Linked DNA regions of Saccharomyces cerevisiae S288C. The protein of the gene in region 1 purifies or fractionates together with the protein of each later gene. This does not show direct contact. Each region holds a gene or a part of one and is shown in the gene's direction. Other genes may lie near its edges.

The links.
Region 2: the proteins of BUD21 (region 1) and ECM16 purify together in Saccharomyces cerevisiae (affinity purification with mass spectrometry; 6 studies listed by BioGRID). This does not show direct contact.
Region 3: the proteins of BUD21 (region 1) and ENP1 purify together in Saccharomyces cerevisiae (affinity purification with mass spectrometry; 5 studies listed by BioGRID). This does not show direct contact.
Region 4: the proteins of BUD21 (region 1) and RRP9 purify together in Saccharomyces cerevisiae (affinity purification with mass spectrometry; 5 studies listed by BioGRID). This does not show direct contact.

The regions. Positions count from the first base shown.
Region 1 is NC_001147.6:469,302-473,869, forward strand, and holds BUD21 (Bud21p), read left to right. Parts: upstream 1-3,423; coding exon 3,424-4,068; downstream 4,069-4,568. Other genes in the region: SKI7 (Ski7p), read right to left, coding at 76-2,319; RTS2 (Rts2p), read left to right, coding at 2,598-3,296; Mn(2+) transporter ATX2, read right to left, coding at 4,174-4,568. UniProt on the Saccharomyces cerevisiae protein: Functions as part of the small subunit (SSU) processome, first precursor of the small eukaryotic ribosomal subunit that coordinates the first two steps of ribosome biogenesis in transcription of the primary transcript pre-RNA and pre-18S processing.
Region 2 is NC_001145.3:521,529-529,198, forward strand, and holds ECM16 (ATP-dependent RNA helicase ECM16), read left to right. Parts: upstream 1-2,167; coding exon 2,168-5,971; downstream 5,972-7,670. Other genes in the region: DLT1 (Dlt1p), read right to left, coding at 1-261; SAS2 (histone acetyltransferase), read right to left, coding at 801-1,817; POM152 (Pom152p), read left to right, coding at 6,276-7,670. UniProt on the Saccharomyces cerevisiae protein: Probable ATP-binding RNA helicase. Required for 18S rRNA synthesis. May play a role in restructuring of the pre-rRNA.
Region 3 is NC_001134.8:711,656-717,024, reverse strand, and holds ENP1 (snoRNA-binding rRNA-processing protein ENP1), read left to right. Parts: upstream 1-2,569; coding exon 2,570-4,021; downstream 4,022-5,369. Other genes in the region: 3-deoxy-7-phosphoheptulonate synthase ARO4, read left to right, coding at 1-143; HIS7 (imidazoleglycerol-phosphate synthase), read left to right, coding at 560-2,218; RRT2 (diphthamide synthase), read right to left, coding at 4,271-5,369. UniProt on the Saccharomyces cerevisiae protein: Required for normal export of the pre-40S particles from the nucleus to the cytoplasm.
Region 4 is NC_001148.4:799,998-805,691, forward strand, and holds RRP9 (ribosomal RNA-processing protein RRP9), read left to right. Parts: upstream 1-2,361; coding exon 2,362-4,083; downstream 4,084-5,694. Other genes in the region: chromatin-binding protein CTF4, read left to right, coding at 1-2,020. UniProt on the Saccharomyces cerevisiae protein: Involved in nucleolar processing of pre-18S ribosomal RNA. Required for efficient pre-rRNA cleavage at sites A0, A1 and A2, and biosynthesis of 18S rRNA.

The DNA.
Region 1 (4,568 bases):
CATCAACTTATTACTATTCATTTTATATATTAAACAATAAGTATGAATGCCTAGTATAATTTCTTAGTTGTAGGATTACTGGCATGCAATTCTGCCAACTGCGATAACCTTATGATCTATTGATGTTAAAACAATATTGTTGGTAATGTATTTGGAATCAATCACATTAAGAGCAAAGTCTGGTTCTATAATTTCGACTTCGACAATAAGTGACTGATTTGGATTAATTGAGATGTCGTTAGTCCCGAGAATCTTCACCAATTTTACCGCGTTGTGCGTCAAATTATGGTAAAGAAGCAATTCAGAACCCAAGTCAACGGGATCACTTAGCGCGTGCGTTTGTATTGATAATTTTATTAAACGCAAGGCTAACAACTTTAGTGTGTTTGGTAAATTCGGTGATAGTGTATTCGTCTTTCTAGAGTGAATTATTATATCACCCTTACGAATGTGAAATTGCTTTTTCGTGAAGTCTTCGGTATTATGAATCTTAACAAGAACCTCTAAAATGTCAGGGTTCAAACCGACTGATATATTATTTTTTGTGTTAGTCTCCAGTATTTGTTTTGAATTCTTCATTCTTGAAACTATACCATAGTAATGAAAATCTTCATATTGTGTATGAATTTCAATTGTCTGGCCTGATTGAATATATCCGCTGTTGATCAAGACTTTGAGTGACACGTAATTTATCTCCGCTATCGGTTGAAGAACAGAAGATTGCAGTATTGTGCCTACAAATGGCTCTTCCAAAGTTGTTTCTATTTTGTTCATATTATGCTCTACCAATAGATATAGTTGCGAAAAAAATGTCGGACCTTCATACCATTCGGGAACATAATTTATAGAGTCAAATTCTGACTTATACTTAGATTTTGTGATGTTTTCAGTTTTATTCAAATTCGAACCTAATAAACCCGAACACGGGATAAATTGGAATTCTGCGTCTGTCCACTGAAAGTTTTCCTTCAACACATAATTTAGCTCAGACTGAATCATTTCTAGTCGGTGCTTATCCCAACTAATTAGATCTGCCTTATTCAAAAGAATTATCAAGTGCTTTTTGCATGCGGAATTCTTGTTCAAATAAGAGATCACTTTTAAAATTTCATAAATCTGATTATTTGGACCATCTAATGATTTTTCCCACGAGTCATAATTGCAATCAATAACCAATACATAAACTTCAGGATCAAAGGTCAAAATTGAGTTCAGAGTTTCTTTATTGAAGTATTTGATACTACCAGGAGTGTCTATAAGCGTCAAGGTTGATGATGGCGGTAGTAAATCATTTTCTACCTGAATAACTTTCTTAAACATGGAAAATCCATTTTCTCTTTCTGTTTTGGTATTGTCTAGAATGACCTTAAAACTATTTGAAGATGAAGGATCCAAATTACTGCTTTTTTTTTGTAGTTCCCTCATTGATGACATAGAAATTTCGTTTAGATCATATAAAAGATGACCAAGCAAAGTGGATTTGCCTGCGTTTGTATCACCGAGGAACAAACATGTCAAATTCAGAGGATGGGTGGCAATGAATGAATGAATATCAATCGACTCAGTAGGTGGTGTTTGAAGGTTAATTGGTTCCTTTTTTTCGGCCTTGGGCACAGATTTGATATTTAAGTTTTCTAATTTTTCATTGAAAGCATTAAGTTGGGCCGATTGTATTATATCATCAGGACTTGGTCTATTGAAATTCTCAATGGCTACTTTACGAGTTGTTTTCGGCAGGTTACAAGGCACAAAAATACCAAGGAGCTCATTGTTATGCTTTTTTAAGGACAGAAATGATGAATTCTGCGACGATAGCGGTATTGATGTACTCAACGAGTTTTTTTTATCTTTTATGATAAAGTTTGTGAACGCAAAATCGTCGGTTTGATTTATGCATGGATCGTTTTTCAAGAAACAGTAATGGTTCATTTCTTTAATAGCCTTCCATGACTCTTCTAAGTTGAGTTTATCATCAGGCGATTTCCTTTTGGTAGGGAGTTCGTTTTCTTTGCTGTCTAATGTCACTGATTTTCCTTGTTTCTCCAAATCACTATTTGACTTCTTTAAGGCAGACAACTTTAAACTCAATGAAACACTATGCTGGTTCGGGGTAAAGTCGCTTCTTTTTACCTTGTCTTTTGCAAGTAGCGTCTTCAGATCCTTCCTTTTTGTCTCAGCATTGTTATCTTTAGTTTCTCTATTCTTATGTAGTCTTTCTAGTAAGGATGCACTTTTCGATGTACTATGAGACTGGTCCGCACTTAAAAGGCCTTTAGATTTTTCTATTCTTTTTCTTGCTAATTGCTCTAATAACGACATGTCAGGTGGTACTGTAAGTTTCGAAGACCACCTCCTCGTACGTGTATTGTAGAAGGGTCTCTAGGTTTATACCTCCAATCTGTTATAGTACATATTATAGTACACCAATGTAAATCTGGTCCGGGTTACACAACACTTTGTCCTGTACTTTGAAAACTGGAAAAACTCCGCTAGTTGAAATTAATATCAAATGGAAAAGTCAGTATCATCATTCTTTTCTTGACAAGTCCTAAAAAGAGCGAAAACACAGGGTTGTTTGATTGTAGAAAATCACAGCGATGGCAGATTATGATAGTGCGAAATATTGGTCCAAGCAGGGAGCTCGTCGTGGGTTACAGAAAACCCGTTACTACTGCCAAATATGCCAAAGGCAATGTAAAGATGCAAACGGATTTCAATCACATAACAAATCGCCATCTCATTTAAGGAAGATTAGTCAAGTGACAGCTGAGGACGCTAGGCGCTACAATATCCAGTTTGAAAAGGGATTTCTACAGTTATTGAAGCAGCGGCACGGAGAAAAATGGATTGATGCTAACAAAGTATACAACGAGTATGTTCAAGATCGCGATCATGTACATATGAATGCCACCATGCATCGTTCTTTGACGCAGTTTGTCCGGTACCTAGGCCGCGCGGGCAAGGTAGACGTGGATATGGATATTGATGATACATCTGAGAACGTTGAAGGTCCTTTGCTTATCAGGATCCATCCCTCATCTTTATCATCACCTTCTGAAGATGGAATGCTGCGAAGTCAACAAGAGGAGCAAGAAGTCATAGCCGCCGAGCTTTTGAAAAGACAACTCAATCGTGCTAAGCGACAAACTGAAAAGGTATATCAACCAGAGATGAAATCGGAAATTAGCGGGGATAGCACTCTGAAACGTGTTCAAGTCACCTTCCACGGGAATGGTCGGGTAAATAAAAAGAAAAAGAAGGTTCCTCCACGGAAAGATGGTATCAAGTTCCGTTGATTGAAAATTTTTCTTTTCAAGCGATGAGGTTAGCGAAGTTGTTCGAACAAGCCCAAATATGTTTAGAAGGCAGTACGAATTGATACCCTGAACTGTTACTACCCGTATACACGTATTAAGTAAGACAATGAGTAATGGACACGTCAAGTTTGATGCCGATGAAAGTCAAGCCAGCGCAAGTGCTGTCACGGATAGACAAGATGATGTGCTGGTAATATCAAAAAAGGACAAGGAAGTGCATTCAAGTAGTGATGAGGAAAGTGATGATGATGATGCTCCACAAGAAGAAGGGCTTCACTCTGGGAAAAGTGAGGTAGAATCACAGATCACTCAGAGGGAGGAGGCTATAAGGCTGGAACAATCACAATTGCGGTCCAAGAGAAGGAAGCAAAATGAATTATACGCCAAGCAAAAGAAATCAGTGAATGAGACAGAGGTCACTGATGAAGTAATTGCGGAGCTTCCTGAGGAATTGCTAAAAAATATAGATCAGAAGGACGAAGGTAGTACGCAGTACTCATCTTCAAGACATGTAACTTTCGATAAATTGGATGAGTCAGATGAAAATGAAGAGGCATTGGCTAAAGCTATAAAAACTAAGAAAAGGAAGACATTAAAAAATTTAAGGAAAGATTCGGTGAAAAGAGGAAAATTTAGAGTTCAATTGTTATCCACCACACAAGATTCTAAAACATTACCACCAAAGAAAGAATCATCCATCATACGTTCAAAAGACCGTTGGCTAAATAGAAAGGCTTTGAATAAAGGGTAATATATAGCATACAACATAATAAAATAATAGTACAATCACAAAATTAATCATAATGTTCATTTATCTATAATCAAACAATGAGAATATATACTGAAGTTTGGTAGGTTATTCTTCAGAGATGCAGTACGATATCACCAACGGTATGCAGACACCTATCAAAACATAAACGGATTCATCATGAGGTAAAACGACTTCCTGTTCAACGCTGAGATCGTGATCATGAGAATCTCCACCAACAAATGCTGTGAAAGACGCATATAGTAAACTGCCACCACTCATAAGCAGAAGATTTCCACTTATCCAATCCATCGTTGGCGAATGACTCAGATTCAAAAGGGATAACACTATGTATCCGATCGGAGTCGATGACGCAAACAAGAAAACGTTACAGATCACCTCCCATTTCATTAAGTTTTGTCTCGATACCATCAAACTAGTGAGGGAAAGAACGGCAGGAATTTTATGAATAACTATAGCAATTAACACCACTATGAGCAGTG
Region 2 (7,670 bases), on another chromosome or scaffold:
GATCGGAATATATCTTCTTGGTATATCTTTTAAACAACTCTTATGAAATAGCATTCTTCCAATAATAATAAAGATACAAAAAACGCCAAAGACAACTAAAGCGCCTACAACAATGAACGTATTAAAGGCATTGTTTTCTGATTTAGAAGCTTGTGCAATGGAATCTATGGGTAAAACAACTGAAAACCCAATCAAAAGTATCAAAGAAACGAAAAGGGAAGCTTTGTATAACCACGACTTGAGTTTTGCGAATCCGGACATCTACTGCTAAGTATGGACACTCGTGTCTATAGATAGTATCAGGCCAAAGTTGTATAGCGGTATCTTTTTTTGAATAAATTTCAATGTGTTTTCCTCTGTTTAACCTCCCACTTTCTTTGATGCTCAAGAGCAATAACTTTATCGCAAAATAACAAAACTTTAATATGTGTTGTAATTTTGGCTAAACCCAGTTCAACATCACCACAAAAGAAGGTTTCCTTTATGCCCTTACCCTTTCTGCCTTCTTATTCTAGAATTTGTTTTGATGCTGTATTTGTTTGGTCCTTGTTCGTCATCGAAAAACCGGCCCAAAAACGGCTAATAAAAACGTGAACCTGTTTTAAGTCTTTTGCTATAAAAGATATTTATACTCTAAAAAAAGGGAAACTTTTGCAGCAAAACAAATTTTATGCATTAGTTCTCTGTTCTTAACTTGGTCAGACAAAATTCGTCCGTTTGTAGTTGTCTGTACAGGAATTCATCGAGCGATATTCTATCCTGAAATACATATGCCATTAAGTTACATCCTGAATAGATTCCTAGTCATCTATCAGCAAATATTCATCTTTTAATTTGAACCAATTCCGTTTTGTTCCATGTAGTTTCAACCAGCTATTCAATGACTGCAAGTAAATTTGGTTATTCTCCCCAATACAGTTCAAGTGCTTCAAGGTCAAAATAACATCATTGACTCTCATTCCAGTCACGATGGAAAGATCCTCCAGGGTCACTTTATCATAATGGGCGAGGTCACCTTCAATAAGGTGCCAACAGAGTATCTGTGACCAATATTTCAAGTACCCGATTAGTCCAAAAGGTGATAACGGTACTTCTGGCCCTGATATTACACCTTCTAATTGGGATAGTTTGTATGAAAACTCGATAAGTAAAAGGCCTAATCCACGTCGTTGATATGGGGGAAATATCAAGATGCACGCTAGATTATTTTGCTGATATGACACTAAATCTTTCGAAAAGAATCCCATCGGCTTTGTTGATCCAGTTTCATAAACTATGTAAAATTCATAATGATCTACTTTGAAATACATGGATTTATTGTCCAGATATAGCTTAGTGAAAAGACAAAGACATTGGCAAAAGAGTTGATACTTGGATCCTTTTACTCTTCTTATTGTATATTCAGGACTCTTGTATTTTATTTTGCCTGGAACACGATATTGAAATGGACAACTTGCAACATGTCCTACAAACCGCGTCTGATCATCCGTGTATTTGAAGCAGTATTCACAAACGAAAAGAGTGTCTAGCCAGTATTGGCTGTTAGAAACAGAGGAAAGCTGACCCTTGGTCTCGGAGCACCCTAGCCTTTTTGTTTCAGGATCGAAATAAACGGCGCTCCCATACCAAGTAGAGAATTTTTTATTCAGTCCAAACTGAATCTGTCTTATGTTCCTTTCGTTCAGTATTCCATATAGCATCTCTTTTTGAGTTTTTTTAATTTTTGCTGAGGGCTTATTCTTGCCTTTTCCACCATTCTTCTTTCCTTTTAGCTTCTGGGTAGTCGCTGTGAGTGATTGACTTAAAGATCTTGCCATTTTTTTTGCGAGTGAAAACAAAAAGCAACTAGAAAATAGGAGCCTCCAATATCAAAAAATCAAACTTCAATTTAACAGATTCTTAGAGCGCTACATACTCTATCCAGTTCGATATGGACAAGACTTAATGATTTCATCATCTCTTCTGATTAACGATTCTGTTATTCTTCATATTTACGCGCCTAACATATCATGATGATTGGGTGTTCCGAAAATTTTCATTGGCGATGAGCTGAGTATTGAAAGCTCATTATAGTATTAGTATATTATTGTTAATAGCAAGTGCTATATGCTATAAAAATGCAATTACAACCCAATACTAATAATAGAGTGTCTTAAGAAATATAAGTATGGGTACTTACAGAAAAAGGTTTAATGAAAAAGCCAGATCCGGCCATATGGCCAAATTAAAAGAACTGAAAAGAATTAGGAATAAGCAGTTCACTAGACAGGATGAAAACGATGAAAGAGTAGAAAACCCAGATTCAGCTCCCGCTGAGAGTTCTACTACGGAGCCAAATGCCAATGCGGAAATTCTTGAACCTCTCACTGAAGAAGAAAAGAAAATGAAGAAAAGAAAACTACAGGAGTTATTTACCCCAAAGGAATCGAAAGTTTCGAGATTGAAGAAGAAAAGACTGGATAAATTTATTGAACATCAATTAAAAAGAGAGGAAAGAAAGACAATTATTGGTAAACTTCAAGATTATAAGATAGATACAAGTTTGTTGACAAGCTCTAAAAGGTTAGGAGAGGGCAGGCAGACTAAAAAGGAAGAATTCAAAGAAGCACTGAGTTTAGAACGTCAAGGAAGAGGAAATGAACAAACAAATGAAATATTATACGAAGAATATGAACCAAAAGTTTGGGATGAGTATGGTGAAGGAGGGAGCTCTGAGGATGATGACGGCGAAGATGATTTCGAGGCTTCATTTGGTAGTATGCCGAAACCAACGGACAATGAGGAGAAGAAATCATCAGGTTTTATTGATCATAGACCAGCAAAATTTGGTGGATCTGGTCTTAGCTTTGGGTTTAGCAATATAAAAGTCATAAACAAAGAAAGCAAAACTCCGAAGAAGAAATATAATTGGAGACAACGAGTAGAAATGGAAGAATTGAAGAAGCATGGGAAAGAAGATGAAATGGATTTCGACACGACATCTGAAGATGATGACGAAGAGGAGGATCAGGAAGAAGAAGACAAAATGCATCCTAGTGAAAACCCACTCGAAGAAGTTGAAAGCGCAGATAGTGAAACTGGCTCAGAAAAATTTGACCAAAATGATGTTGCTAACGAATTCAAGGATTGGGCCAATCAAGAAATAAAAAAATTGGAAGGTAGAGATCAAGAGCTAGTTACTCCCACTTTGAACATCGATTATAAACCGATAATTAGAAAGGAAGATTTAGATGATGGTCTCCAAGAAGCTTATGTTCCAATAAACGAGAATTCCACCCGTAAAGCCTTCTATGTTGAAGTTAGCAGATCAGATGAAATTCAGAAAGCAAGAATTCAACTACCAGTATTTGGTGAAGAACACAAAATTATGGAGGCTATTCACCATAATGATGTAGTGATTATTTGTGGTGAAACGGGGTCAGGTAAGACTACACAAGTCCCACAATTTTTATATGAGGCTGGGTTTGGTGCCGAAGATTCTCCAGATTACCCAGGAATGGTGGGTATCACTCAACCAAGAAGAGTGGCCGCTGTGTCCATGGCTGAACGTGTAGCTAATGAATTGGGGGACCATGGTCATAAAGTAGGATACCAAATTAGGTTTGACTCTACCGCAAAGGAGGACACAAAGGTCAAGTTTATGACAGATGGTGTCTTGCTACGAGAAATGATGCACGATTTCAAGTTGACTAAATATTCCTCCATTATCATAGATGAAGCACATGAAAGAAACATTAACACTGATATTTTGATCGGTATGCTTAGCCGTTGTGTTCGGTTAAGAGCTAAACTACATAAGGAGAACCCGATCGAGCACAAGAAGCTAAAACTCATCATCATGTCAGCTACATTAAGGGTATCAGATTTCAGCGAAAACAAAACATTGTTCCCCATAGCGCCCCCTGTCTTACAGGTTGATGCAAGGCAGTTTCCAGTCTCTATTCACTTTAATCGTAGAACTGCATTCAACTATACAGACGAGGCTTTCAGAAAGACTTGCAAAATTCACCAGAAACTTCCTCCTGGCGCTATATTGGTGTTTTTAACCGGTCAGCAGGAAATTACACACATGGTAAAAAGGCTAAGAAAGGAATTTCCTTTTAAGAAAAACTCCAAGTACAACAAAGATTTAGAAACACCCGTTTCTAAAATGGGTATCAATTCAAAAACAACAGATTTGGAGGCTGAGGATATAGACTTCAGTGTACAAGTTATCGATCAAGATAAGTTCAAGAGCGCGATAAGATACGAAGAAGATGAAGGTAACAGTGGAAACGGTGAAGATGAGGAAGACGAAGAGGAAGAAGGGTTTGAAGAAGTCCTAACTGAAGGGCAAACAGCTAACGATCCTTTATATGTCCTTCCACTGTATTCTCTATTACCAACCAAGGAACAAATGAGAGTCTTTCAAAAACCTCCTCAAGGTTCTAGGCTTTGTATTGTTGCAACAAATGTTGCAGAAACATCGTTAACTATACCTGGAGTTAGATATGTTGTTGATTCCGGGAGGTCTAAAGAGCGTAAATATAATGAATCAAATGGCGTACAGAGTTTTGAAGTGGGCTGGGTAAGTAAAGCTAGTGCCAATCAAAGAAGCGGTAGAGCAGGTCGTACTGGACCAGGCCATTGTTACCGTTTATATTCGTCTGCTGTTTTTGAACATGATTTCGAACAGTTCTCTAAACCTGAAATCTTAAGAATGCCAGTGGAGAGCATCGTGTTACAAATGAAGAGCATGGCCATTCATAATATCATTAATTTTCCATTTCCAACTCCTCCAGATAGAGTTGCCCTTTCCAAGGCAATACAATTACTGCAATATTTAGGTGCTCTTGATAATAAGGAGATGATTACTGAAGATGGTAAAAAAATGAGCCTGTTCCCACTTTCACCCAGATTTTCCAAAATGTTACTTGTTTCTGACGAAAAAGCCTGCCTTCCTTATATTGTAGCAATTGTTAGTGCCCTTTCGGTGGGAGATCCTTTTATCAATGAATTTGAGTTGGGAATAAACGAAATTTCTAGAAAACCAAATCCAGATGAAAATCTAGATGATAAGATTAGAGAGCACGATGAATCAACACCAGGTATGGATCCTGAACTGAAAAAGGAATTGCGCAGTAAATTCTATAAAAGCAGGAGTCAGTTTAGTAAATTAGACAAATTTAGTGACGTATTCCGTTTATTAAGTGTTGTAAGTGCAATGGACTACGTTCCAAAGGAACAAAAAGAAATATTCATGAAGAAAAATTTTTTAAGAGGCAAACTAATGGAAGAAATAGTAAAATTGAGGAAGCAGTTAATGTATATCATCAAGTCCAACACTTCAAAAGAAAATATTGCCGTAGTAATTAGGAATGAAGACTTGAAAAGTGATATTCCAAGCGTCATACAAATAAAACTTTTAAAACAAATGATTTGCGCTGGTTTTGTCGACCATGTTGCCGTAAGAGCAGATGTTTTATTTCCAGATGATGCTAAGATAACCAACAGAACTTCCATAATCAACATTCCTTATATTCCTGTTTTGGCCACGAGAACACCAAATATCGAGGACTGCTTTGTCTATATCCATCCGACTTCAATTTTAAATAATTTGGGGGAAATGCCACCCAAATACATGCTCTATTATTCCTTGCACCTTGGTGGAAATAATAAAACAAGGATGAATACTTTATGTGACATCGCAAGCACCCCCTTAGCGAACATAGCAAGAAAGGGACTTCTTTTGACATACAGTAAACCTCTGACTGGTCAAGGCTTGAAGACCGTTAATTTATCACCTACGGAACGGTATTGTTATGTGGTTCCTAGATTTGGATCCACAGTTGACAACGATCTCAAGATTGGTTGGGATTTAAATCCTATAGCAGTGCATCAGAAGAAGCAAAAAGGCCAGTGGACAGTCATTAAGTTTATCACCAGAAAGGGCTTCCAGACCATCACAGGTGAAGAGAAAGAAAAAAAATAATGCGCTGGTATTATAGAAATAGAGTTTCATTATATAAGAACATATAGGAAGAATACATTATTCCTATCTAGGGCATCAAATAATTGCAACCACTTAATGTTAACTTCCTTCATAATTCAAAACATTATGTTCTATAGCACTATGTATTTTATGTCATTATATACGTAGTCAATAACTTTATACGTTTTTTTTATTGAACAAAAGTAAGAATTGCTTAAGACATAATAAGAGGAAACTCATCGAACCAATTCAAAACGGATTATAGATTTATCATACCAGATACGTTTATCAGGAGGCTTGTATAATGGAGCACAGATATAACGTGTTTAATGATACTCCACGAGGGAACCATTGGATGGGCAGTTCTGTGTCAGGATCACCACGTCCATCTTATAGCAGTCGTCCTAATGTAAACACAACACGACGCTTCCAATATAGTGACGATGAGCCCGCTGAGAAAATCCGACCTTTACGCTCGAGGAGCTTTAAAAGTACTGAAAGTAACATAAGCGATGAAAAATCAAGGATATCTGAACGTGACAGCAAAGACCGCTACATTAATGGTGATAAAAAGGTAGACATTTATTCACTGCCTCTAATATCAACCGATGTTTTAGAAATTTCCAAACAAAGGACATTTGCGGTGATATTGTTTTTAATAATTCAATGTTATAAAATATATGACCTGGTAATACTTAAATCGGGGTTACCGCTTTCGGGTTTACTGTTTAAGAACTATCGATTTAATTTCATATCCAAGTATTTCATTATAGATTCCTTCTTCCTGTATGTTTTACCATCCTTTAACATTCCTAGGTTGACTTTTAAGCCATGGGTTGTTTATCTCCAGATTTTAGCTATGCTACTATTGAACATTTTCATATCAAGCGATCACGAGTTCGTTTTGATTTCATTAATTATGACCACATGGAGAAAACTTTATACGAAAGAATTAAGTGTAACAGGTTCAGCCATTAACCATCATCGTATTTTTGATTCTTCCGCTCATTTTAAGGGTGCTCTAACAATCAAGATCCTACCTGAAAACACAGCTATGTTTAATCCTCTTCATGAATCATATTGTTTGCCCATGGATACCAATCTTTTTAAAATTAACTCAATTGACGTACCCATCAGAATAAACTCAACTGAAGAGATTGAATATATCGAGTTGGAATATAGAGATCTTTACACAAATTCGGTAGAGTTACGGTCTTTGAGTAAGAAAGACTTCAAAATCATCGATAACCCCAAATCCTTTTTAAAAAAAGATCAGTCAGTTCTAAAGTCACATTCAAACGATTTTGAAGAAGGCAGTACAATTCGTTATTTGGCTGTAACTCTTCAAGATATTGGCTTTTATCAAATCAAAAAAATTGTTGATTCAAAAAAACTGAATTTAAAGATCCATCAGTCACACTTGGTTGTACCCTACTGTCCAATTGCATCTATTACTGGAACTGGAAGCAATGATAGATGTATTGGCGATTCAGATAATGTTTCTTTTGAAATTCAAGGTGTGCCCCCAATGAAATTAGCATACTCTAAGATCGTTAATGGTCAAACTTTTTCATATGTAGACTCCAGCTTGCAACCAGAATATTTTGAGTCTCCTTTGCAGTCAAGCAAATCCAAACAAAGTTTTACTCAAGGAGAACTAAACGATTTGAAATGGGGAAGAAACCAACCTGTTAATATT
Region 3 (5,369 bases), on another chromosome or scaffold:
AAGGCATCCCAGCCGAAGGTAAAGCCGGCTTGAAATATGGTGTTTCCATCACTGATGCTTGTATAGGTTGGGAAACTACTGAAGACGTCTTGAGGAAATTGGCTGCTGCTGTCAGACAAAGAAGAGAAGTTAACAAGAAATAGATGTTTTTTTAATGATATATGTAACGTACATTCTTTCCTCTACCACTGCCAATTCGGTATTATTTAATTGTGTTTAGCGCTATTTACTAATTAACTAGAAACTCAATTTTTAAAGGCAAAGCTCGCTGACCTTTCACTGATTTCGTGGATGTTATACTATCAGTTACTCTTCTGCAAAAAAAAATTGAGTCATATCGTAGCTTTGGGATTATTTTTCTCTCTCTCCACGGCTAATTAGGTGATCATGAAAAAATGAAAAATTCATGAGAAAAGAGTCAGACATCGAAACATACATAAGTTGATATTCCTTTGATATCGACGACTACTCAATCAGGTTTTAAAAGAAAAGAGGCAGCTATTGAAGTAGCAGTATCCAGTTTAGGTTTTTTAATTATTTACAAGTAAAGAAAAAGAGAATGCCGGTCGTTCACGTGATTGACGTTGAAAGTGGTAACCTACAGTCACTAACCAATGCAATTGAGCATTTAGGTTACGAAGTACAACTGGTGAAATCACCAAAGGATTTTAACATATCAGGCACGTCAAGATTGATTTTGCCTGGTGTCGGAAATTATGGCCATTTCGTCGACAATTTATTTAATAGAGGATTCGAAAAGCCGATAAGAGAATACATTGAATCTGGAAAACCAATAATGGGAATTTGCGTCGGGCTACAAGCGCTCTTTGCCGGTTCCGTGGAAAGCCCTAAGAGTACGGGTCTGAACTACATTGATTTTAAGTTGTCCAGGTTCGATGATTCAGAAAAGCCAGTACCAGAAATAGGTTGGAATTCTTGCATTCCCTCGGAAAACCTATTCTTTGGATTGGATCCATACAAGAGGTACTATTTCGTCCATTCTTTTGCTGCCATTCTGAATTCAGAAAAGAAAAAAAACCTAGAAAATGACGGTTGGAAAATTGCAAAAGCTAAGTACGGTTCAGAGGAATTTATTGCGGCAGTCAACAAGAATAATATATTCGCTACTCAGTTCCATCCTGAAAAATCAGGTAAAGCTGGTTTGAACGTCATTGAGAATTTTTTGAAGCAACAAAGTCCTCCGATTCCAAACTATAGTGCGGAAGAGAAGGAACTCTTAATGAATGACTATTCAAATTATGGTCTAACACGCAGAATTATTGCTTGTCTTGATGTACGTACTAATGACCAAGGTGATTTGGTGGTTACTAAAGGTGATCAATACGATGTACGTGAAAAAAGTGATGGTAAAGGTGTTAGAAACCTTGGTAAGCCTGTTCAGTTGGCACAGAAATATTACCAACAGGGTGCGGATGAAGTAACATTTTTGAATATAACTTCTTTTAGAGATTGTCCTTTGAAGGATACTCCGATGCTAGAGGTTCTGAAACAAGCCGCAAAGACAGTCTTTGTTCCATTGACAGTCGGTGGGGGGATCAAGGATATTGTCGATGTTGATGGAACCAAAATACCTGCTTTAGAAGTTGCAAGTCTATACTTCAGATCTGGTGCTGATAAAGTATCGATCGGTACGGATGCAGTCTATGCAGCCGAAAAATACTACGAGTTGGGTAACAGAGGAGATGGAACGTCACCAATAGAGACAATCTCGAAAGCATACGGTGCTCAGGCAGTTGTTATTTCTGTCGACCCTAAGAGAGTATATGTAAATTCACAAGCAGATACGAAGAACAAAGTCTTCGAGACAGAATATCCGGGCCCCAATGGAGAGAAATACTGCTGGTACCAATGTACAATCAAAGGTGGAAGAGAATCTAGAGACCTTGGTGTGTGGGAATTAACAAGGGCATGTGAAGCTCTAGGTGCTGGGGAGATTTTATTGAACTGCATAGACAAGGATGGCTCTAATTCTGGTTATGATCTGGAATTGATAGAACATGTTAAAGATGCGGTCAAGATTCCCGTCATTGCATCCAGTGGCGCCGGTGTACCCGAACATTTCGAAGAGGCCTTCCTAAAGACCCGCGCAGATGCTTGCTTGGGTGCAGGTATGTTCCACAGAGGTGAATTCACTGTTAACGATGTAAAGGAGTATTTACTAGAGCACGGATTAAAGGTTAGAATGGATGAAGAGTAATGTGGTTGGATATGTATACTTTATAATCTTGACTCAGTCTATATACGCAATAATGATAGATGTTAAATCAGACATTTCACAACACAAGAGGATGTACAGCTTGGAGAAATTGTACCAACTTATATGGTTGTATTATTGGTGGTGTCAGTAGGGGAAGAAATAGAACATATTTTTCCACTTTTTCATTTTTTTTTTTTAGCGAGGCATCGGAAATGAAAATTTTTAAAAATCGATGAGCTCCCACTTCTTCAACATTGACGAAAGGAAATATGCACTAAGTTGTTTTAAATCCAAGATTTGTCTCGTTTTAAGACTTACAGATAAAACAATATATTAGAAAGATTAACTATAATGGCCAGAGCATCCTCTACTAAAGCCAGAAAACAGAGGCATGATCCACTTTTAAAGGATTTAGATGCAGCTCAAGGTACCTTGAAAAAAATCAATAAAAAGAAGCTAGCGCAGAACGATGCTGCAAATCACGATGCTGCAAATGAGGAAGATGGATACATAGACTCCAAAGCATCAAGAAAAATTTTGCAGTTGGCCAAGGAACAACAGGATGAAATTGAAGGTGAGGAACTTGCTGAATCAGAAAGAAACAAGCAATTTGAAGCCAGATTCACCACCATGAGCTATGATGATGAAGACGAAGACGAAGACGAAGACGAAGAAGCTTTTGGAGAAGACATCTCCGATTTTGAACCCGAAGGTGATTATAAAGAAGAGGAAGAGATAGTTGAAATCGATGAAGAAGACGCAGCGATGTTTGAGCAATATTTCAAGAAATCAGATGATTTTAACTCTTTAAGTGGTAGCTATAATCTTGCAGACAAGATTATGGCCTCTATCCGAGAAAAGGAAAGTCAAGTTGAAGATATGCAAGATGATGAACCACTTGCTAATGAACAGAATACCTCAAGAGGCAATATTTCATCCGGTTTGAAGAGTGGAGAGGGTGTTGCACTTCCAGAGAAGGTCATCAAAGCATATACTACGGTAGGTAGTATTTTAAAAACTTGGACGCACGGTAAGTTGCCAAAGTTGTTCAAGGTTATCCCATCCTTAAGAAATTGGCAAGATGTCATTTATGTGACCAACCCGGAAGAATGGTCACCACACGTTGTTTACGAAGCAACGAAATTATTTGTATCCAACCTAACTGCTAAAGAATCTCAAAAATTTATTAACCTAATTTTACTTGAACGTTTCCGTGACAATATCGAGACCAGTGAAGACCACTCTTTAAACTATCATATATACCGTGCGGTGAAAAAATCGCTTTATAAACCAAGTGCCTTCTTCAAAGGTTTCCTATTCCCATTGGTTGAAACAGGGTGTAATGTACGTGAAGCGACAATTGCAGGAAGTGTGCTTGCTAAAGTCTCTGTTCCGGCTTTACATTCTTCAGCTGCCTTGAGTTATCTTTTAAGGCTACCTTTCTCTCCACCTACAACTGTTTTTATCAAAATATTGCTCGATAAAAAATATGCTTTACCGTACCAGACGGTGGACGACTGCGTGTATTACTTTATGAGGTTTAGAATTTTGGATGACGGTAGTAATGGGGAAGATGCTACAAGAGTACTCCCAGTGATATGGCACAAGGCTTTCTTAACATTTGCACAACGTTACAAGAACGATATTACCCAGGATCAGAGAGATTTCTTGTTGGAAACTGTTCGTCAAAGAGGCCATAAAGATATCGGTCCTGAGATTAGAAGAGAACTATTGGCAGGAGCCAGCAGGGAGTTTGTTGATCCACAGGAAGCTAATGATGATTTAATGATTGATGTCAATTGATGCTGTAATATCAATTTTTCATCAATTTTATATCGCTCGGTCTTTCCCCCTTTCAACAAAGCTTCTGAATCATGTATAATAAGTAGAAAATATAGAGTAAAAGATTATTGTTCAGGCAAGTTCCTTCCTATCAATTCTTTATGCATAATCTATCGAAATCATCAAAATATGGCCTATATATTAGCCTATATATTAGCCTATATATTAGCCTATATATTAGTCCATATATTGCAGACTGAATTTTTTTTTCTAAACTATCCATGTTTGCAAGGAATTATCATAAAATGAGCATGTTGCGATCAAAGAATTTGACCAGTCGCCACCGTAACACATCGAATCATGGCCCTTCTTCAGATAATGTTGAATTTGAAAATACTCATCGGAATTATCATTCATGGTCACCACCTTGGCACCATTGTACATGCAACAAACTAAAAGCCGATCGGAGCCGTTGTGGTGAGATTGTTCCTGATCAATGGGGGATTCAACAAATCTCCAAACACCGCCACCAAGATCACACGCCAATTTATTAACTGTGGGGACATTTGCACCAGGAAATATGGACTCACCCATCATCCTTAAATCCAGAGAACGAATGTTATCATCATAGGATCCAGTTATTATGGACGTGGGTTTATTATTTCGAAAGTTAGGTTGACTACACTTAATGCTAACAACACCAGCATCATGAATACGATTATTACTCCAAATGAATTCTTTGGAACGTAAGTCGTGGGCCATAATTCTCGAATCATCACCTCCTGTAAATACAACGTCTTGAAAAGGCTGTAGAGATCCAAATTCCGCAGTCCAACACTCGAGTTCATGGGGTTTCAAAAATTGTCCCGATTCAACATGAATGACTTTTTCGGTTGCACCTTGAACTTCGTAATCTATTTTATCTAGTTTTGAGTAAGCCTGCGCGATTGCTGATGCCGTGAACTGTACAGATAGTGTTCTTATATCAATGGTAGCTGCTTCGCCTGCCGTATTTGTTACAAGTAATTTCTTACAATCAAGTGGGGAAAAATGGCACGAGGCAATGAGAACATCTTTTTCAAAGAGTTGTAGATTTGCAATTGCATGAATATCTAGTTCGTTTGATTGGAAATCATCCTTATCTGTGCACCGTATCCTCCATAGCATGATATTACCTGTCGAATGGGCCGTGCATATCAATGTATCATCAAAGGGGGATAACTTCAAATCTAGGATTGCGCCATACGTATTATTCGAACATAAAAGTTTGAGGTCCATTGTGAAGACATCCAGTGAGCCTGACCTGTATCCAGTTGACTTATCTAAATCATACGTCCCAACAAGGATGATCTTATTCCTGAATATTCTC
Region 4 (5,694 bases), on another chromosome or scaffold:
ATTCTCTATAAAGGGATATTCCCTACAAAAGACGTTGTCCACAAATCTCTCATCAACAAAGGCTCATTTCATTGATTTGCAATTTGACCCGTTACGTGGAACTTACATTGCGGCAGTAGATTTAAATAATAAGTTAACGGTATGGAATTGGGAAACTTCCGAGATCCACTACACCAGGGAATTCAAAAGAAAAATTACTAATATTGCCTGGAAAATCCAAGCGGACTCAAAAACTCTAGACCTTGTTTTAGGTACCTGGTCCGGTAGTATAGCCATTGTCCAAAATTTGGCAGAGTCCGTAGTATCTAATATACCTGACCAATCTGTTGCTGAATCTTCAACTAAACATGGGCTTTTTGTAGACTCCGAATCTGACTTGGAAAACTTAGAGGGAAATGATGATATAAACAAAAGCGATAAGCTATTTTCAGATATTACTCAAGAAGCGAATGCGGAAGATGTGTTCACTCAAACACACGACGGCCCCAGTGGATTAAGTGAAAAGAGAAAATACAACTTCGAAGATGAAGAAGACTTTATTGATGATGACGATGGTGCTGGTTATATTAGTGGCAAAAAACCACATAATGAACATTCTTATTCGAGAGTACACAAGACTCATTCGTTTCCAATCAGTTTGGCAAACACAGGAAAATTTCGTTATATGCCTTTTTCTCCAGCGGGAACACCTTTTGGCTTTACTGACAGGCGTTATTTGACAATGAATGAAGTGGGCTACGTATCTACTGTCAAGAATAGTGAGCAATACAGCATAACTGTCTCTTTTTTTGATGTTGGACGTTTTAGAGAATACCATTTCGAGGACTTATTTGGCTACGATTTATGCTTCCTAAATGAAAAAGGCACTTTATTTGGCCAATCCAAAACTGGGCAGATACAATATAGGCCACACGATAGCATACATTCAAACTGGACCAAGATTATTCCTTTGCAAGCTGGTGAGAGAATAACAAGTGTGGCAGCCACCCCGGTTCGCGTTATTGTTGGTACATCATTAGGCTATTTCAGAAGTTTCAATCAATTCGGGGTTCCATTTGCTGTTGAAAAGACATCCCCAATTGTAGCGCTTACTGCTCAGAATTATAGGGTTTTTTCAGTACATTATTCGCAGTTTCATGGCCTTTCATACTCTTTATCTGAATTGGGTACTTCTAGTAAAAGGTACTATAAAAGAGAGTGTCCACTTCCAATGAGTTTACCAAACATTAATTCTGATATGAAAAAAGACGCAAATCTTGACTACTACAATTTTAATCCGATGGGCATCAAAAGTTTGTTCTTTTCAAGCTACGGAGATCCATGCATTTTTGGGTCCGACAACACGCTTCTATTGTTATCAAAGTGGAGATCACCAGAAGAAAGTAAATGGCTCCCTATTCTAGATAGCAACATGGAAATATGGAAGATGTCAGGAGGGAAGGAAACGACAGATATACATGTCTGGCCCTTGGCTTTGGCGTATGACACATTGAATTGTATCTTAGTTAAGGGCAAGCATATATGGCCCGAGTTTCCCCTTCCGTTGCCATCCGAAATGGAGATTAGAATGCCAGTATTTGTTAAGAGTAAATTACTAGAGGAAAACAAAGCTATATTAAATAAAAAGAACGAAATTGGAGCTGACACCGAAGCGGAAGAAGGGGAAGAAGACAAAGAAATACAGATTCCTGTTTCTATGGCGGCGGAAGAAGAGTATCTGCGCAGCAAGGTTTTGTCAGAGCTGTTGACAGATACACTCGAAAATGACGGTGAAATGTACGGCAACGAAAATGAGGTATTGGCAGCATTGAACGGTGCATATGATAAGGCTTTGTTACGTTTATTTGCGTCTGCATGCTCAGACCAAAATGTTGAAAAGGCTCTTTCGCTTGCTCATGAATTAAAACAAGATAGAGCACTTACTGCAGCCGTTAAGATATCAGAAAGAGCTGAGCTGCCCTCTCTCGTTAAAAAAATTAATAATATAAGGGAAGCTAGATATGAACAGCAATTGAAATAAAAAAATGTAAAATATATATACGCAAGAGACAATTATTTGATACCTGTTCATTTGTTCAAATCATCGTTCAAAATGCTCCCACATTAACATATATTTCTTTGAATGCGACGATAATAAAGAGTTACGTTGAACATGATCTGAGCTGGAAGCGTCCTTGCGAATTTTCGCGAAAGGAAAAAGTGAAAAAATATGAAAAAAAAAAAAAGAGATGACATTTTATAGATGAGCTTTGATTAAACAGTGTAACACCTGGTCCTGTACCGTAAATATTCAAATAAGCATCAATTCAAAGTTCTTTATTTCTTCTTTAGCATTTCAAAATTATAGAAAATCTAGAAAAGATGTCAGATGTTACCCAACAGAAAAAGAGGAAAAGATCCAAAGGAGAAGTTAATCCATCAAAACCCACAGTAGACGAAGAAATCACAGATCCATCCTCAAACGAAGATGAACAACTAGAAGTTTCGGATGAAGAAGACGCATTGGAATCTGAAGAAGAATTCGAGGGTGAAAATCCAGCCGATAAAAGAAGGAGGCTTGCAAAGCAATATCTGGAGAATCTGAAAAGCGAAGCTAATGACATTTTAACTGATAATAGGAACGCTGAAGAAAAAGATTTAAACAATCTCAAGGAAAGAACAATCGACGAGTACAACAATTTTGATGCTGGAGATTTGGATAAGGATATCATTGCGTCCAGGTTAAAAGAAGACGTTGCTGAACAGCAAGGCCGAGTCTTCAGATATTTTGGCGATAAACTTCTAATATCTGAAGCAAAACAGAGCTTTACCAGGGTAGGGGAAAATAACCTTACTTGCATTAGTTGTTTCCAACCCGTTTTAAACAAATACACCTTCGAGGAATCATCTAATGGCGATAAGAACAAAGGTAGGTTATTTGCCTATACAGTTAGCAAAGACTTACAACTCACCAAATATGACATTACTGACTTTAGCAAAAGACCAAAGAAGCTAAAATACGCTAAAGGAGGAGCAAAATATATACCTACGAGCAAGCACGAATATGAGAATACCACAGAAGGCCATTATGACGAAATCTTAACTGTAGCAGCCTCACCAGATGGTAAATATGTTGTCACAGGTGGAAGAGATAGGAAGTTAATTGTATGGAGCACAGAATCTCTATCACCCGTTAAAGTTATTCCAACAAAGGATCGCCGAGGGGAAGTTTTATCGTTGGCTTTTAGAAAAAATTCTGATCAGTTATATGCATCCTGCGCAGATTTTAAGATAAGAACATATTCAATAAATCAATTTTCCCAGTTGGAGATTCTTTATGGGCATCATGATATAGTGGAAGATATATCTGCGTTGGCGATGGAAAGGTGTGTTACCGTTGGTGCCCGTGATAGAACAGCTATGCTTTGGAAGATTCCTGACGAGACCAGACTAACATTTAGAGGTGGCGATGAACCTCAAAAGCTACTAAGGAGATGGATGAAAGAAAACGCTAAGGAGGGAGAAGATGGAGAAGTCAAATATCCTGATGAATCAGAGGCACCTTTATTTTTCTGCGAGGGTAGTATTGACGTTGTGAGTATGGTGGATGATTTTCACTTTATAACAGGCTCCGATAATGGTAATATATGTCTATGGTCTCTGGCGAAGAAGAAACCTATCTTCACGGAAAGAATTGCCCATGGTATTTTACCTGAGCCCTCTTTCAATGACATTTCGGGGGAAACCGATGAAGAATTAAGAAAAAGACAGTTGCAAGGCAAGAAATTGCTACAACCATTTTGGATCACATCTCTTTACGCTATTCCATATTCGAATGTATTCATATCTGGATCATGGAGTGGATCGCTAAAAGTTTGGAAAATTAGTGATAATCTCAGATCATTTGAGTTGCTAGGTGAATTATCTGGCGCTAAAGGTGTAGTTACCAAGATTCAGGTTGTAGAAAGTGGTAAACATGGGAAGGAGAAGTTCCGTATTTTGGCTAGTATTGCCAAAGAACACAGACTCGGTAGATGGATTGCAAATGTTTCAGGTGCCAGAAATGGTATATATTCAGCTGTCATTGACCAAACAGGCTTTTAGATTGCTGATATTGCCGTAATTTTCCATGCCCTTTTCACTCTCTCAGAACGCAAAGCGGCTCCGGCTCCCAAGTATATAGAAATAAGCATATAGAATGAAATGTATCTTTTGTAAAATATCTAAAAAAAAAATAGTACATGTATTTTAGTCTTTTTGGTACATTAAAAAAGTTTTCATTGTCACGTATCTGCAATGGCATTCTTCACAAAGCATGTTAGATGCGGGGGGAGGGGAATGATTATGGACAAGAAGACCAATATTATTATTTATTCTTCAATGGAATCGGAAATAGAATGAAGAATTATGACTCCCTGATATGCGAATAGTTTGAACCTAAAACGCGCCAGGACTGTTTAAAAATAACAAAATCGAACATTGTTAGAATGAAACTCTAACATGTTATCTATTTAGTAGTATGAACGGAAGGATAAATAATCGAAATATTATTATGTAGAAATACCGATTCCATTTTGATTCTTATATTCTCGAGAGAACTTCTAGTATATCTGTATACATAATATGATAGCCTTTACCAACAATGGAATCCCAACAATTATCGAATTATGAGAAATGGGTGAATGTTGAGATAATTGTTGGGATTCCATTGTTGATAAAGGCTATAATATTAGGTATACAGAATATACTAGAAGTTCTCCTCAAGGATTTAGGAATCCATAAAAGGGAATCTGCAATTCTACACAATTCTATAAATATTATTATCATCATTTTATATGTTTATATTCATTGATCCTATTACATTATCAATCCTTGCGTTTCAGCTTCCACTAATTTAGATGACTATTTCTCATCATTTGCGTCATCTTCTAACACCGTATATGATAATATACTAGTAATGTAAATACTAGTTAGTAGATGATAGTTGATTTCTATTCCAACATACCACCCATAATGTAATAGATCTAATGAATCCATTTGTTAGTTAATAGTTTAAATGTTTTTATCGGAAGAGGTTTTGTCATCACATCAGCAATGTTCTTCTTGGTCTCGATGTAGTATACGTATAGATTATTACCTGATACTTCATCTCTAAGTCTCATTGCCTTTGTGCCAAAAAATCTGTTTCTAAATTTCTCTTCATTTGTAGACTTAATTATACTGATCGTTGATCTACTATCAGTAAGTAAGCCTTTAATAATTGGTTTCTTGTTAAGTTCTTGCACAAGGTGACTGAGGTTATTCAATAGCGGAATAGCTTCACTGACTGCGTGTATTTCTGCTTCTGTAGTTGAAGTGCATGTTAACGAAGCCTTTGTCGACTTTCCTCCAATCACTTTTCCGTTGAGTAGGAAAATGTTACCAATTTGTGACTTGTAATATGGTTGGTTACCATATGAAGCATCGCTTATTGCGACTAGTTTATTATCTGGCTCGGTAGGTTTGTTTTTGTGCCATATCAGTTGTTTATCTCTAGTGTCCCACATGAATTGTATTAACTCATATGTCATGTCTAAAACTTGCCTAGAGGGGAATAGTATATGTTGAGCAAGTGTGTTGATGTAGTATAGTAAGTCAAATCTAAATTTATATCCAACATATGAAGCTAGACCAATCAACTTTTGCATTTCATGTACCTTCTCTTTGTATTCATCT